2 linked regions of the Canis lupus familiaris genome follow. The protein of the gene in region 1 interacts with the protein of each later gene in a biochemical or structural test. Links are inferred from orthologs where the notes say so. Each region holds a gene or a part of one and is shown on either strand. Other genes may lie near its edges.

What was found.
Region 2: the proteins of NFE2L2 (region 1) and ENC1 form a complex in vitro, tested with the Homo sapiens proteins (2 studies listed by BioGRID). The link is inferred for Canis lupus familiaris from reciprocal best matches to the Homo sapiens genes NFE2L2 and ENC1.

What each region holds. Positions count from the first base shown.
Region 1 is NC_049257.1:21,321,943-21,329,100, reverse strand, and holds part of NFE2L2 (nuclear factor erythroid 2-related factor 2), read left to right. Parts: intron 1-3,575; coding exon 3,576-3,842; intron 3,843-4,368; coding exon 4,369-4,458; intron 4,459-5,094; coding exon 5,095-5,286; intron 5,287-6,507; coding exon 6,508-7,158.
Region 2 is NC_049223.1:56,427,087-56,434,244, reverse strand, and holds part of ENC1 (ectoderm-neural cortex protein 1), read left to right. Parts: intron 1-2,297; 5' UTR 2,298-2,310; coding exon 2,311-4,080; 3' UTR 4,081-4,110; intron 4,111-7,158. UniProt on the Homo sapiens protein: Actin-binding protein involved in the regulation of neuronal process formation and in differentiation of neural crest cells.

The sequences.
Region 1 (7,158 bases):
ATGCTGCTTCATGATGTATTTTTCCTGTTTGTTGATGGGGATCCATCCAGGTGTTTGGGAGCATATTCTGGGAAATTTTTCTCTTAACGTTAGCACATATATCTTCATTCTGTTCCTTGACACTTTATATAGGTGGTTCGAGCATAAACATGTACATTTAAGTTGAACTTTTTATCTTGCTAAAGTACAAACATACCATAGCAGAGACAAAGTATAGTGGCCTTCCAAGTAGTCATTTCCCAGATCAACATTCTATTCACCTGGTGGGTAATGGGAAATTCTTTAAAATTGAATTCGTTTGGCCGTGCATCGAAGGGGGGGCCCAGCAGGGACTGAACGGCAGTTGAGCAAGTGTGTGTGTGTACACAGAAGTAAACATGAAAGTAGAGGTTGTGTGCTTTGTCTTCAACACGTGTTGCACAAACCGGGTAGTCACACCCTCCCTGAGGAGGAACCAAGGAGCTTCTTTGCTGAGTGTTACTTCAGGCGCCCAGTACAGTCAGGTCCACAGCTTCATCATCATCCGTTGGCTGGAGTTGGATCTTCTGTTCTGGCAGGTGTTAGAACCATCACTGGGCGCTCCGGTGGCTCAGCCGCTGAGCATCTGCCTTTGGCTCGGGTCGTGATCCCGGGTCCTGGGATCGAGTCCCACATCGGGCTTCTCCCACGGAGCCTGCTTCTGTCTCTGCCTGTGTCTCTGCCCCTCTCTCTCTCATGAATAAATAAAATCTAAAAAAAACCAAAACCATCACTGTCAGCATGCATAGCAACAATAGCATATGCTTTACATTTATAGAGAGATTTCTTTCATGTCTCAGTTGATCCACCAACATCTGTATGATAGGGGTAGGCTCGAACAAGCATGTACTAAATTTAGAGCTAAACCATCTGAACCCACTTGAGACATCTCCTCTGGTGCGGAGGAAAGAAGGAGAAAGGAAAGAACAGACATGTATCAACTCCTGTGACTGCCACCTGGGAATTCTAGAGTAAACTACAGTAGGAATTTTCTTTCGGCCCATGGGGCTGGGTTCTGGGGATACCCTGGAATAGTCTGACCTGTGAGCAGGGATTTGCAACAGAAACTGCTTCAGTGTTCATTCGGCTTTTATGAAAAAATCAAAAGTGGATCATGGTTTCTTTTTTTGGGGGGGGGGTTTATCTGGGATCTCTCAACAAGGAAAAGCTTCTGCCTTGGCCTTGGAGAGAAAGCACGAGTGTGGGGAGGGGAGCACGGGGAGGGAGACGCAGACTGCTGAGCAGGGAGCCCAGGACCCCGAGATCATGGCCTGGACGCGTACCCGAGAGCCAGCCGGGCGCCCCCACGTTCCTTTTACTGCTCTGGAGAGCTCGGCTCGCTGGCCCGTCAGTGTTCGAGAAGGACTGGAGTTTGGTTGCGGCTGTGATCGTGCTTGTCTTTAGTGCTGGCGCTTAGTGGGTGTGGGACCCTGAGGACCGCCCTGGCCCTGGCCCTGGCCCCCTGGCTCCAGCGGGAGAACAGCCCGGAGGGATCCCCAGTTCACCAGGGTCGGAGCTGAACCACTCAGGATTTTAAGGTAGAATTCGCTGTGCCTTGAACCGTTGTGTTTCATGTGACCCTTGGATAAACCTGCCCATTAAAATGGAAACACATCATCTTTATTTTTTTATTTTTTTTAAGATTATATTTATTCATGAGAGAAAGAGAGAGAGGCAGAGACCCAGGCCGAGGGAGAAGCAGGCTCCCTGCGGGGAGCACAACGCGGGCCTCGATCCCGGGCCCCCGGGGTCACATCTGGGCCGCAGGCGGCGCTAAACCGCTGAGCCCCCGGGGACCCCCACACCTCATCTTTGAAATGGAGCTCCTCCCAGGGGCGGCGGGGCTGAGGAGCGCCCGGTTCCGCCCTGCGGGAGCCGAGGTCAGGGGCTCAGCACCGCGGCGCTTCCGTCGCGCAGTTCAGGGAGCCGCGTCGGTCGGGTTTCGTATTTTCCGTGTGACTTGTGGTCCCAGAGGCCCGAGGGGAGCCGCGGGCTGGTCAGTGCGGCGGGCCGGGCCCGGGAGGCCGGCGGCTCCCCAAAGCCTCCAGAGAGGCTGCCCTCCCCAGGGCCCGGGCCGAAGGTGGCCTGGGCTCCCCGCTCTCGGCTGGAAATAGCCGCTCAGGAGGCATCGCGCCCCTTGGTCCCGGGAGGAGCCAGTCGGCGGGTCTAGACCTGGTGCCGGTGTCCGAGCCGGTGTCCCCGGGGCAGCCGGTGTCCCCGGCCGGACCCGCTGTCAGCCCTGCTCCCCTCCCCGCGCCTGGATCTCTCCACTGTTAGTCTCATTATATTATTTTCAGTACAGATGACTTCTTAGCTGGGAAGTGATCTAAATGTCCTACAGGGGGACGCCTGGGGGCTCAGCGGTCGGGCACCGCCTTCGGGCCAGGCCATGACCCCGGGGACCCAGGATCGAGTCCCATGTCGGGCTCCGCACAGGGAGCCTGCTTCTCCCTCGGCCTGGGTCTCTGCCTCTGTGTCTCATGTATACATAAAAATTTTTTTGATATTATTTATTTATTTATTCAGAGAGAGAGAGAGGCAAAGACACAGGCAGGGGGAGACATAAAATCTTTAAAAAAATACAAATTTATTTCCTACCTGTGTAGACTTTTCCAAAAACTAAAGTTGTAAGTCAGAAAAATTGCTTTTTGACACATTTGTGATTAGAAAAATCTAGACGTGGTACGTCGGCCTAGCTTTGTCACAGAGATCAAAATAACCATTACTCTCGTGGCAAGACTCTCCCTGTATCTTAAAACTTTTAGTACCTTCCATCCTTCCCTGGAGCCATGTTTGTTTGTTTTTAATTTATTTTGTGTTTGTTTTTAAGAGGGTTATTTGTGATTTCCCAGAAGTGAAACCCTTTCCCAGGGCAGCCCCTTGCAGCCCCCTGCTTCACCTGCGGGTCACGAGATGACCATTAGCCAGGACTTCCCCGTACTCATTTGTGCAGGCCTCCGGAGCGAACACCCAAGTCCGGAGATTGTTTCCATAAATGAACCACAGGAACAAGAGTTGCTAGAGATGATGGGGGAAAGTAATCCGTGTAGGAAACACCAAAAGAATGGTGCTGTTTCACAGCTGCTAGATTGACATTTAGCAGGGGTTTTCCCCCACTCTGTAAACTGGATATTTGCTGAGTTTAGAAGAAACTCCACATATTTGATCATGTTTCCCAAACTCCCATTTCTCATAGTAAACCAGTGGCTTGGAGTTACTCTCATTTCTGTATTCCATTAAACACGTGTGGGGCTTCCCTTAATTCAAGAGCTTTAATGTGCGTGTTCCTTTGCTCCGTAGTGACCTCTACTACCACCCGGTCATTAATAATCCAAGTTATAAGTATTAGAATGGATGGCTGTTTGTACGTTCTTGTTTCTTGATTCATTGATTGGAATTAACCGTGTCCTTCCAGAACATGGGATCTGTGTTCCCATTCAGATCGTCATCTCCCTACCACCGGCCATCAACAGTGGCATAATGTAAACTACATGATATCTGCCATTTTAAAAACCATCTTAACCATGGTCTCTCTCTTTCCCTTTTTTTAAACATAGGACATGGATTTGATTGACATACTTTGGAGGCAAGATATAGATCTTGGGGTCAGTCGAGAAGTATTTGACTTCAGTCAACGACGGAAGGAGCATGAGCTGGAAAAACAGAAAAAACTTGAAAAGGAAAGACAAGAACAACTCCAAAAGGAGCAAGAGAAAGCTTTCTTTGCTCAGTTACAACTAGACGAAGAGACCGGTGAATTCCTTCCGGTTCAGCCAGCCCCACACATCCCATCGGAAACCAGTGCATCTGCCAACTACTCCCAGGTACAGAAAACTCTGTTCTTGGGAAGGTGTGTGGCAGGGTTTATGGAACTAATACCGACCCAAGAGTTAAAACATCTGGATTTGAGTTTCACTTCACCTTTTTTTATGCCTTTTACTGTCTTCATGACCATATCAAGTCACCTTCCCAACCTCAGCTTCCTGATGAGTTCCTCACAGAGTTGTAGGATTGGGAGGACATAAATCACGGGAAGGTGCTTTCTAAGCTGTGGAAACATACGTAAGTGTCAAGCAGCAGCGGTGGTGGCAGCGGTAAAAGTAGTACAGAGTACTCGCATCTTGTCTGCAGATGAGCAGTTGCAGCTCAGAGATTCAGTAACTTGCTTGCCCGGAGCGCTCAAAACTGGGGAAACCAAGATTCAAACCCAGATAGTCTGGTTGATTTGATTCTGTGCTCTGTACTACACTAAACTGATTTCGGAAAGAAGATAAATGTCTAACTAAATTATAAACACCGTATGACACTGAACAATCTTTTTTTTCTTTTATGTCTCTCTCTTTTATCTAGGTTCCCCACATTCCCAAGCCAGATGCTTTGTACTTTGATGACTGCATGCAGCTTTTGGCAGAGACATTCCCGTTCGTAGATGACAATGAGGTACATTTGGTTAACAGTGAAACTCCTCCACTATATCTAATCACTGTATCTAATATATCCTCTAAGTGTGTCTCCGGTAAAAAAAAATATTTTAAGAGGAAATTTTGTCAAAGAATCCTTAGCCTGTAGATAACTTTACAATTAAAAAAAATATATCTCTACAAAATATACACTTACTGCTGTATAGCCAGAAGCATGGATCTGCATAACCATGGAAACAAATGACTCATTGGTTGTAGGTACTTAGAAATAAATTTTGGTGTGTAAAAAGCAAGCTGGGTAATAAACCAAGACTTGCTCAATTAACACTTTTAGTAAATTTATTATGTTTGAAGCACTATACTAGATATTTTTACTGAGACATACAAATTAAAAATCCTAAAGATTTATACTTATTTTGAAATTTACCTTTGAATGTATAGGATAAAACAACTAAACTAGTAAATGATTAAGTTTAGAGTCGGGCAGGGGAAAAAGAGATTTGTTTCATTAATAAGTGGTTTCATAAGTGGTTATAACTAAAGAAATAGAGAACTGTTAGCCAAGTCCAGTTGAAGGTGTTGTGGGGGTGCCTTGGGGTGTACTTCTCCACTGATGCTGGCAGACTCATGGAGATAAATGCTCTGTCAATTGTAGGTTTCTTCAGCTGCATTTCAGTCCCTTGTTCCTGATATTCCCAGCCAAATCGAAAACCCAGTCTTCATTGCTCCTAATCAGGCTCAGTCACCTCAGACTCTTGCCGTTCAGTCAGTCATTGCTGATTTAGACAATATGCAGCAGGACATTGAGCAAGTTTGGGAGGAGCTACTATCCATTCCAGAACTGCAGGTAACTAAGATCTAATATCAATAAATACCAAAGACACTTTGATATTCAGTGCCTTTAATTATCCAGTTACTATTTACATGCCACCTACTTAATGGAAGGATTGGAAGGTGCTTTTTTTAATATTTTATTTATTTATTTGAGAGAGAGGGAGAGAGCAGGAGAGCATAAGGGAGAGAGCAGGGGAGCATAAGCGTTGGAGAGGGGGAAGCAGGGAGCCCGATGTGGGGCTCCATCCCAGGACCCTGGGATCATGACCTGAGCCATGGAAGCTGCTTAATTGAGTCACCCAAATGCCCAGGAGGGTGCTTTTATTTTTATTTTTTTATTCATGAGAGACAGAGGCAGAGACATAGGTAGAGGGAGAAGCAGGCTCCATGCAGAGAGTCCAATGCAGGACTCGATCCTGGGACCCTGGGATCACACCCTGGACTGAAGGCAGAATCTTAACCACTGAGCCACCCAGGCGTCCCAGAGGGTGCTTTTAAATTAGTCCTGAGAGGGGCACCTGGCTGGCTCAGTCACAGGAGCATGCTACTCTTTCAGAGTTGTGAGTTTGAGCCCCACCTTGGGTGTAAAGATTACGTAAATAAACTGGAGTCACAAGAGTTGCCCATGATCACTTACGTGCAGTTGTTTTTTTTTTGTTTGTTTGTTTGTTTTTTAATTTTTTTAAGCTTTTATTTATTTATTCGTGACAGACAGAGAGGCAGAGACACAGGCAGAAGGAGAGGGAGAGAAGCAGGCTCCATGCAGGGAGCTGGACACGGGACCTGATCCCCGGCCTCCAGGATCACATCCCGGGCCAAAGGTGGCGCCAAACTGCTGGGCCACCTGATTGTCTTGAGGAAAGATCTGGTCTTTGTAGACCAGAAGTCTGACCTAGGAACTGTGAAAATAATGTACATACTTAGACATAAATATGTTAGAAATGGATGGGAATTAGCTGAATTACAGAAGAGCTTGGAAAGAATGGGGGTGGGGAATCAGAATCAGATATAGATTTCCAGCTTTTAAAACTATTTGCCATCAGGGGCACTTGGTCGGTTCAGTTGGTGGAACATGGAAATCTTGATCTCGGGGTTGTGAGTTCAAGCCCCATATTGGGTATAGAGATTACTTATAAAATCTTTAAAAAATAAATATTTGCCATGAAATATAGACTATCTGCTATCAAAAATATTTCACCTTGATTTACATTTAGTAAAAATTTCTTTTCCACAGTGTCTTAATATTCAGAATGACAAGTTGGTCGAGACTAGCATGGTGCCAAGTCCAGAAACCAAAATGACAGAAATCGACAACAATTATCATTTCTACCCCTCAATGCCCTCACTGGAAAAAGAAGTAGGTAACTGCAGTCCACCTTTTCTCAGTGCTTTCGAGGATTCTTTTAGCAGCATCCTCTCCACAGAAGATTCCAGCCAGCTGACAGTGAACTCATTAAATTCAGATGCCACAATAAACACAGATTTTGGTGATGAATTTTATTCTGCTTTCATAGCAGAACCCAGTAGTAGCAACAGCATGCCTTCCTCTGCTTCTTTCAGCCAGTCACTCTCTGAACTTCTTAATGGGCCCATTGATGTTTCTGATTTATCACTTTGTAAAGCGTTTAACCAAAACCACCCTGAAAGCACAGAATTCAACGATTCTGACTCTGGCATTTCACTGAACACAAGTCCTGGCATGGCATCACCAGAACACTCAGTGGAATCTTCTGTCTATGGAGACACAGCACTTGGCTTCAGTGATTCTGAAATGGAAGAGACAGATAGTGCTCCTGGAAGTGTCAAACAGACCGGTCCTAAAACACAGCCGGGACAGTCTGCTGGAGATCCAGCCCAGCCCCCGTCACCATCTCCAGGGCCCAGT
Region 2 (7,158 bases), on another chromosome or scaffold:
ATGCAGATCCTGTATCCTGAGGTCTTCTTAACAAACTGTTTCAGTGTAAGCCAGGCCGCCCCCCCCCCCCCCCTCAGTGAATGTTGTTTCACTCTGTCTGGAGTTCGATGCTCTGGGAAACATGTTCTGGGCCCCACTGTGGTTCACACTCTCTGCGGGCACTTTGGTGCTCACGTGCCCTGTGCCAGGAGCCTCATGCTTCAGTTAGAGGCGTGTCCTCTCTTAGCTTGAGACAAGGCAGCTTTGGAGAGAAGCAGCTCGGGAGGGAAGCGTTAGCTTGAAAAAGAAAGCAGAACTCATTTGGAGTGATTGAAGTTTCTAGGTAAGACATCAGAGGATGTAAAAGACCTCTTGTGAGGTTTAGGCTTAAAATCTTCCTCGAGTACCTCAGATTGAATGTATGACTTCACAGCTCTCAAGGTGGGGTGTCAGGGATGCTAATAGGTGCGCTAAGGCTTTGGAAACTTGGTGCACTCCCCTGGTGTCAGGTCGACGGTTCTGGGCCTCGTAAACACACACCGGACGGTAGAGGCCTTGTCTGAGATAAGGGGGATGCCTGGCTCCTCACTGCCCGTCTATCTGTCCTGAAGTAGCCTGTCCTGAAGTAGCCGCAGTGGACACTGGTGTTGTCTTCTAAGGACATTGTTACTTACTTTCTTCCACTAAAGCCATGTTTACTCCTAATGAAAAGTTACATTCCCCAAATAAAAGAAAACAAGTTGCATCACCTAATGTTGTGTGGCTAGTGTGTCACGGGCCCATCTGGCACCCGCCTTTGTTGTGCGCCGTGCTGTGCCACAGCTGGTCGGGAAGTGCCGCTTGGTATCTAGCCCTTGAATTTGTGGAGAGTCACTCATTTCTGTTTATTAGCAATTACTGCAATATAGATTGAAAAGAAATAACTAAGGGAATGTTGAAGGAAACAACAAGGAGGCCCGCTTGGAAGAACTAGCTGTTCTGAGTTTGGAACAGATACTGTAACTTATACAGTTTAGCCTCTTGGCATAAACAGCTTCCTTAGGAACCCTTTGACGGGCAGGTTCTTGAAGGCTTTATTCTTTTGAAGTAACAGAAGGATAGAAAAGAAAAAAAAAAAAAAAAAGCATGTGATTCAGTGTTTGAAGATGGGTGACAGGTATTTCCCAGATCCTGAACCTACAGCTGACTTACTGAGGAAAGCCAAAGACAGCATTAGATTTTGCTATGATTTCAGTAATTTGGAGGAAAGGACTTTACTTGGCAAATAAAGACAAGGGTGGCCCTAGCACAAGAGCACAAATGCGTGTGCTTTTGACTTACATAAAACAGTGTTTGCATTTTGAACCCCCCCTGCACGTGGCGGTGTTTGCAGGTCCGTGAGAATGAGCCTGGTGATGCACTCACTGTTCAATCCGAAGAGGGGGACGGATAGATCCTTTGTTCTTGCAACTGGTTTTCCAAGAATTGATATAAAGCAGGAAGAACAGAAAAACAGCAGTGATGAGTAGGCTGCTCAAAATATTCTTCCTTTTATGTGTGCAAATCCTCATTTTGGAAGCTGTCCAGAGCCAAGACACATGGGTGGTGATTGTGGCCAGAGTCTGTTCTGTGTTTTCACAAAAGCCTGCTAATCAATATATGGTAATGTTTATGTTGGTGCTGTTTGAGGGCCCTGTCCTGGTGGCGTTGTCGGCCAGAAGTTATTTGTAAGGTTTTAATAAAGATCTGATCTTGGAAGGAGTTGGCCTAAGCCTATGACCCTAATATTACGTCTCCCATGTACCGTGGTACACAGAGACACCGGCTCTTACTAAAGGAATTCTTGATGGAATTAATTAGTAGGTATTTGTTTTACACATGGCTTTATGTTGCATAGGGCATGAGAGCTGGTGCCCATGCCGGCGTTACGAGAGCTGGAAGGCTGGCATTCTAAGTGGCCTGCAGTGAATCAGCTGGACGAGGACCGGGAGCCCTGCGAGTCAGACCTCCCTCCTCTGGGGTTTTGCCGTCTTACATTCTCAAGGACTTCAGTCTCCTCAAAGTTGGCAGTCAGGTTTTCCAAGATGAACCTGCTTCCGAGCCGTGATTTTTTTTTTTTTTTTTAAACAGTGCTCGAGCAGCTCAACAGCATTACAGGGAGATGCCTTGGCTGCTGGGTGGTGTCTGTGGCTCTGCGGGAAGGGCTGCCCATTACTGCAGGCTAACGGCAAAGCCCTGTGTTTTCTCCGGTCACAGCCATTTGTTTGCTTTGCTGTGCTGTTCTGAACGTCGAGAGCGTCCCCCGTTCAATGGCCTGTTTTGCTGTGTCTTGGTTTTAGGAGAGGAAACACAATGTCGGTCAGCGTGCACGAGAACCGCAAGTCCAGGGCCAGCTCCGGCTCCATCAACATCTACCTGTTCCACAAGTCTTCCTATGCCGACAGCGTCCTCACGCATCTGAACCTTCTGCGCCAGCAGCGCCTCTTCACCGACGTCCTCCTCCACGCGGGGAACAGGACCTTCCCCTGCCACCGGGCCGTGCTGGCCGCGTGCAGCCGCTACTTTGAGGCCATGTTCAGCGGCGGCCTGAAGGAGAGCCAGGACAGCGAGGTCAACTTCGACAACTCCATCCACCCGGAGGTCCTGGAGCTGCTCCTTGACTACGCCTACTCCTCGCGGGTCATCATCAATGAAGAAAACGCAGAGTCGCTCCTGGAAGCCGGCGACATGCTGGAGTTTCAGGACATCCGGGATGCGTGCGCCGAGTTCCTAGAAAAGAATCTGCATCCCACCAACTGCCTGGGCATGCTGCTGCTCTCCGACGCACACCAGTGCACGAAGCTCTATGAACTCTCCTGGCGAATGTGTCTCAGCAATTTCCAGACCATCAGGAAGAACGAAGATTTCCTCCAGCTGCCCCAGGACATGGTGGTGCAGCTCTTGTCCAGCGAAGAGCTGGAGACAGAAGATGAAAGGCTCGTGTACGAGTCTGCAATTAACTGGATCAGCTACGACCTGAAGAAGCGCTACTGCTACCTCCCAGAGCTGCTGCAGACGGTGAGGCTGGCCCTCCTCCCCGCCATTTACCTCATGGAGAACGTGGCCATGGAGGAACTCATTACCAAGCAGAGAAAGAGCAAGGAGATAGTGGAAGAGGCCATCAGGTGCAAACTAAAAATCCTGCAGAACGATGGCGTGGTGACCAGCCTCTGTGCCCGGCCTCGGAAAACCGGCCACGCTCTGTTCCTCTTGGGAGGGCAGACCTTCATGTGCGATAAGCTGTATCTGGTAGACCAGAAGGCCAAAGAGATCATCCCCAAGGCCGACATCCCCAGCCCAAGAAAAGAATTCAGCGCGTGTGCAATTGGCTGCAAAGTATACATCACCGGGGGCCGGGGGTCTGAGAACGGAGTCTCGAAAGACGTCTGGGTGTATGATACCCTGCACGAGGAGTGGTCCAAAGCCGCCCCCATGTTGGTGGCCAGGTTTGGCCACGGCTCTGCCGAACTGAAGCACTGCCTGTATGTGGTCGGGGGGCACACGGCCGCAACGGGCTGCCTCCCGGCCTCCCCCTCCGTCTCTCTAAAGCAAGTAGAACACTATGACCCCACGACCAACAAGTGGACCATGGTGGCCCCACTCCGAGAAGGTGTCAGCAACGCGGCGGTGGTGAGCGCCAAGCTCAAGCTGTTCGCTTTCGGAGGTACCAGCGTCAGTCATGACAAGCTCCCTAAGGTTCAGTGTTACGATCAGTGTGAGAACAGGTGGACGGTGCCCGCCACCTGCCCCCAGCCCTGGCGTTACACGGCTGCAGCTGTGCTGGGCAACCAGATCTTCATCATGGGTGGGGACACCGAGTTCTCGGCCTGCTCCGCCTACAAATTCAACAGCGAGACGTACCAGTGGACCAAGGTGGGAGACGTGACCGCAAAGCGCATGAGCTGCCACGCTGTGGCCTCCGGAAACAAACTCTACGTGGTCGGGGGATACTTTGGCATCCAGCGGTGCAAGACTCTGGACTGCTACGACCCCACGTTAGATGTGTGGAACAGCATAACCACGGTCCCGTACTCGCTGATCCCCACTGCGTTCGTCAGCACCTGGAAGCACCTGCCTTCCTAAGCGCGGCGCCCTTCGGGGGATGAGCGTGAGGTAAGGAGTGGTCCCGGGTGAGTATGCGGGGAATTGAGCGGCGCGAGTCCCTCCAAGAGTGAGAGTGACCGGTGCAGAGGTAGTCCCCGAACTATTCAAGTCAAACACCCTGCTCCCCAGAATGGAAAGCACCGGGGTCGACCGCAGCTGCCCGGCCCTGCCCCTAACTGGAGCCGGGGGTCCCAGCCTTGGCTGAGCCCCCGCGTCTCCCAACCAGCATCTCAAAACTGCCCGTCCCAGAGGTGGGATCTGGGACGGGCATCGCCAGGGGGTTCTCTCATGATGCTGTTGTGCGGCCCAGTTGGGAGCCCCTGCCTTGTGCCTTAGGTTAATAATGCCAGCCAGGCTCTGCTGGGCCTCCCTGCACACCTGGGGCCGGGGGCTCCGTGGGTCACTTCGTCTGATCCTGACAACAGCCTTGCGAGATACTATTCCTAGAGCACTGTAGGGATGGGAACAACCGGTGCACAGAGGTTGAGCGACTTGCCCAAAGTCCTAGAGCTTCGTAGGTGGAGGAGCGGGTCGAGAAACCAACCCGGGGGCTCAGGCTCCAGAGTGGAAGCGCTTGAGCGTTTGCTGAACTGCTTCTTAACAAACTTGAGCTTCCTACGGGTTATCACCCCAGGAGATATTGGTTGATACTCAAATTTCGATTCCTCAATGCTTTCTGGAATGAAGGAGGGTGTAAGAACCGGAATGCTTAAGTTTTTTTCCTAGTTTGTTTTCTCTCCAATTATTTATCGCTTATTTAAAAATTTTTTCCTCAACAAAAAAAATAGCCCCCTTTAGGGCATTTATTAACTTCAGAAGGAAACCGGGGTCTCTGCTCGTAAAAGGTTACACCTGCGTTGTTTAAATTTGTCTGATGCGTGGACACACTGAGCCATCCAGACTGCCTTACACGGCAGCCTTTCAGAGTTAATCAGACAGGCTGACCCTTTTGTCAGGGCGAACAAAAGTCGTCTTTCTGTGTCATATATCTGAGTCCATAATGGTCGTCTTGTGTGCTTAAGAGTATATAATACTCTTGGCTCAAATAATTAATAGGCCGACGCAGTTCAGTGTTCGCGAAGCTAATGGCCGCTTTGCTGCCGTTAAGCATCCTTGCTCTTGGCCCCAGGAAGCACTTAAGCATGTCTTGAGGGCAGCACGAGCACGTGGAACGTGTTGATTGGCTTTGGTAATTCGCGGGCTTGTTATTAATAATAAGAGAATAAAGTTAAAACTCTGCTTTGGAGGAAGCACAACGAAAACTAACCCATTGCCTGGGAAGCTTTGGCTCTGTGATCCGAGTATGTGTCACACTTTTCTTTTTTCTGCCTTTTTTTTTTTTTTAAGACTTATTTATTTATTTATGATAGACATAGAGAGAGAGACAGAGACACAGGCAGAGGGAGAGGCAGGCTCCATGCAGGGAGCTGGATGCAGGACTCGATCCCGGGACTCCAGGATCACGCCCTGGGCTGAAGGTGGCGCTAAACCGCTGAGCCACCCGGGGATTCCCTGTGTCATACTTTTTCAAGAGGACTTTCAGAGGGGAAAACGGAAATCTAGGGATCTTTGTGAGCTGAGCAAAGAGGGATTTCGACTCATTGGTCTTTCCTTTCCACCTTTCTTATAGCTCATTTTCGAACATCACTAAAATTGGCCTCATTTTGACAATGAATCTTTGTTTTTGTTTTTGTTTTTTCCATTGGTTCAGTTGTCTCCTCCAGCCTGTTAGAGTTAGCACAGCTTGCTAATAGGATGTAACCTTGGAATGAAACTCCTTCAGAGGAGCTGGAACAGTCAGAAACCTCCTGTGGGGAGTGACTGTGCTGACGGCGTCCCACACCAAACTGGTTTTTGCAGCCTTGCTGGCATCTCAGTAATCCTGAGTAAACAAATGCTCTGAACGTGGTTATTTCATCTGCGATATGAGTGCATGACTCACCTCTAAAGCAGGTTTAAAGAACCTTCTGGGCAAAAGCATCAATTAAAAGCACACTGAGTTCGGTGTTAGCCCAGAATTGACTATATTTGCAGAGGAGAGCCAAGCCCTTGGCGCGATGGTGGCCGTGGACAGGCTGGCATCTTTGGACTGAAGGAAGGAAGGAAGGAGGAAGGAAGCCGAGGCAGGGAAAGACCACGGTGCATCCCGGTCTGGGTTTCCGGGGTGCCGTCTGGAACCCTCTGGACTCAGACCCCTCCTTTGTCCCGTGACTGTGCTGCACTAGGGCTTCTGCACGCTCTGTCCCCACTCAGGCCCGGGCTCATTGATAAATGAGGGAAGAAAAGGGGAGAGAACACGCTGCCCAGCATCTGGCCCATGTTAAGTGTTCGACACTCTTAGGTTTCTTCCCTTCTTCAGCTGAGACCTCGGCCTGCCACGGAATTAGCTTCGCGTGTGGTGGGGAAGTGCGGTTCCTCTGACTGCCACCCACTTGTTACCTCTAGTCTTCGTTTTTTTTAGTGCCTCCCCACGCAGCCCAGGGGATGTTGTCTGGTGCTCGAATTCGCCCCATCCTGGCTATTTGATCCTAATCACATACTTCTGGGCCCTGGGAACCGAGCAGATCAAGTGTTAGGTCGTAGGTGCAGCAGCCCCAGCCCCGGTGCCGCCCGTCGGAGTCCAGCCCCGAACAGGGCAGTTTGACAGGGTCGCATTGGCCTCTTTAAGGGCGGTGTGGGCCTCATCAAAGCCACCCTTGCGGTCTCCCATAGGGAGAATGTTGGTGTAAATTTCTGAAGTTTTCTACACACAATATAGTGTTAAAACACTTAAGCTGGATAGGGTGACTTAAAAGAGGTGCTGTGCAGGTTTCAGCCGTAAGCTGCAGAGACTTCCGGAACGTCTCTTTGATCTCAGACGTGGGTGCTAACCGAATTAATACGTGTTAACAAGAGGTTTCCCTGGGTCTAAAAGCTCATTCACCAGGGGGGATTTTAACTGTCTCCTGCTGCTGTGTCGGTGGGAAGGACAAGAAGGAAATCACTCTTGAGGACGCTCCCATTTTTGTGGTGCCGTGTGGCCCCAACCTGACGGCCCTCGGATTTCCCTGTGCTCTG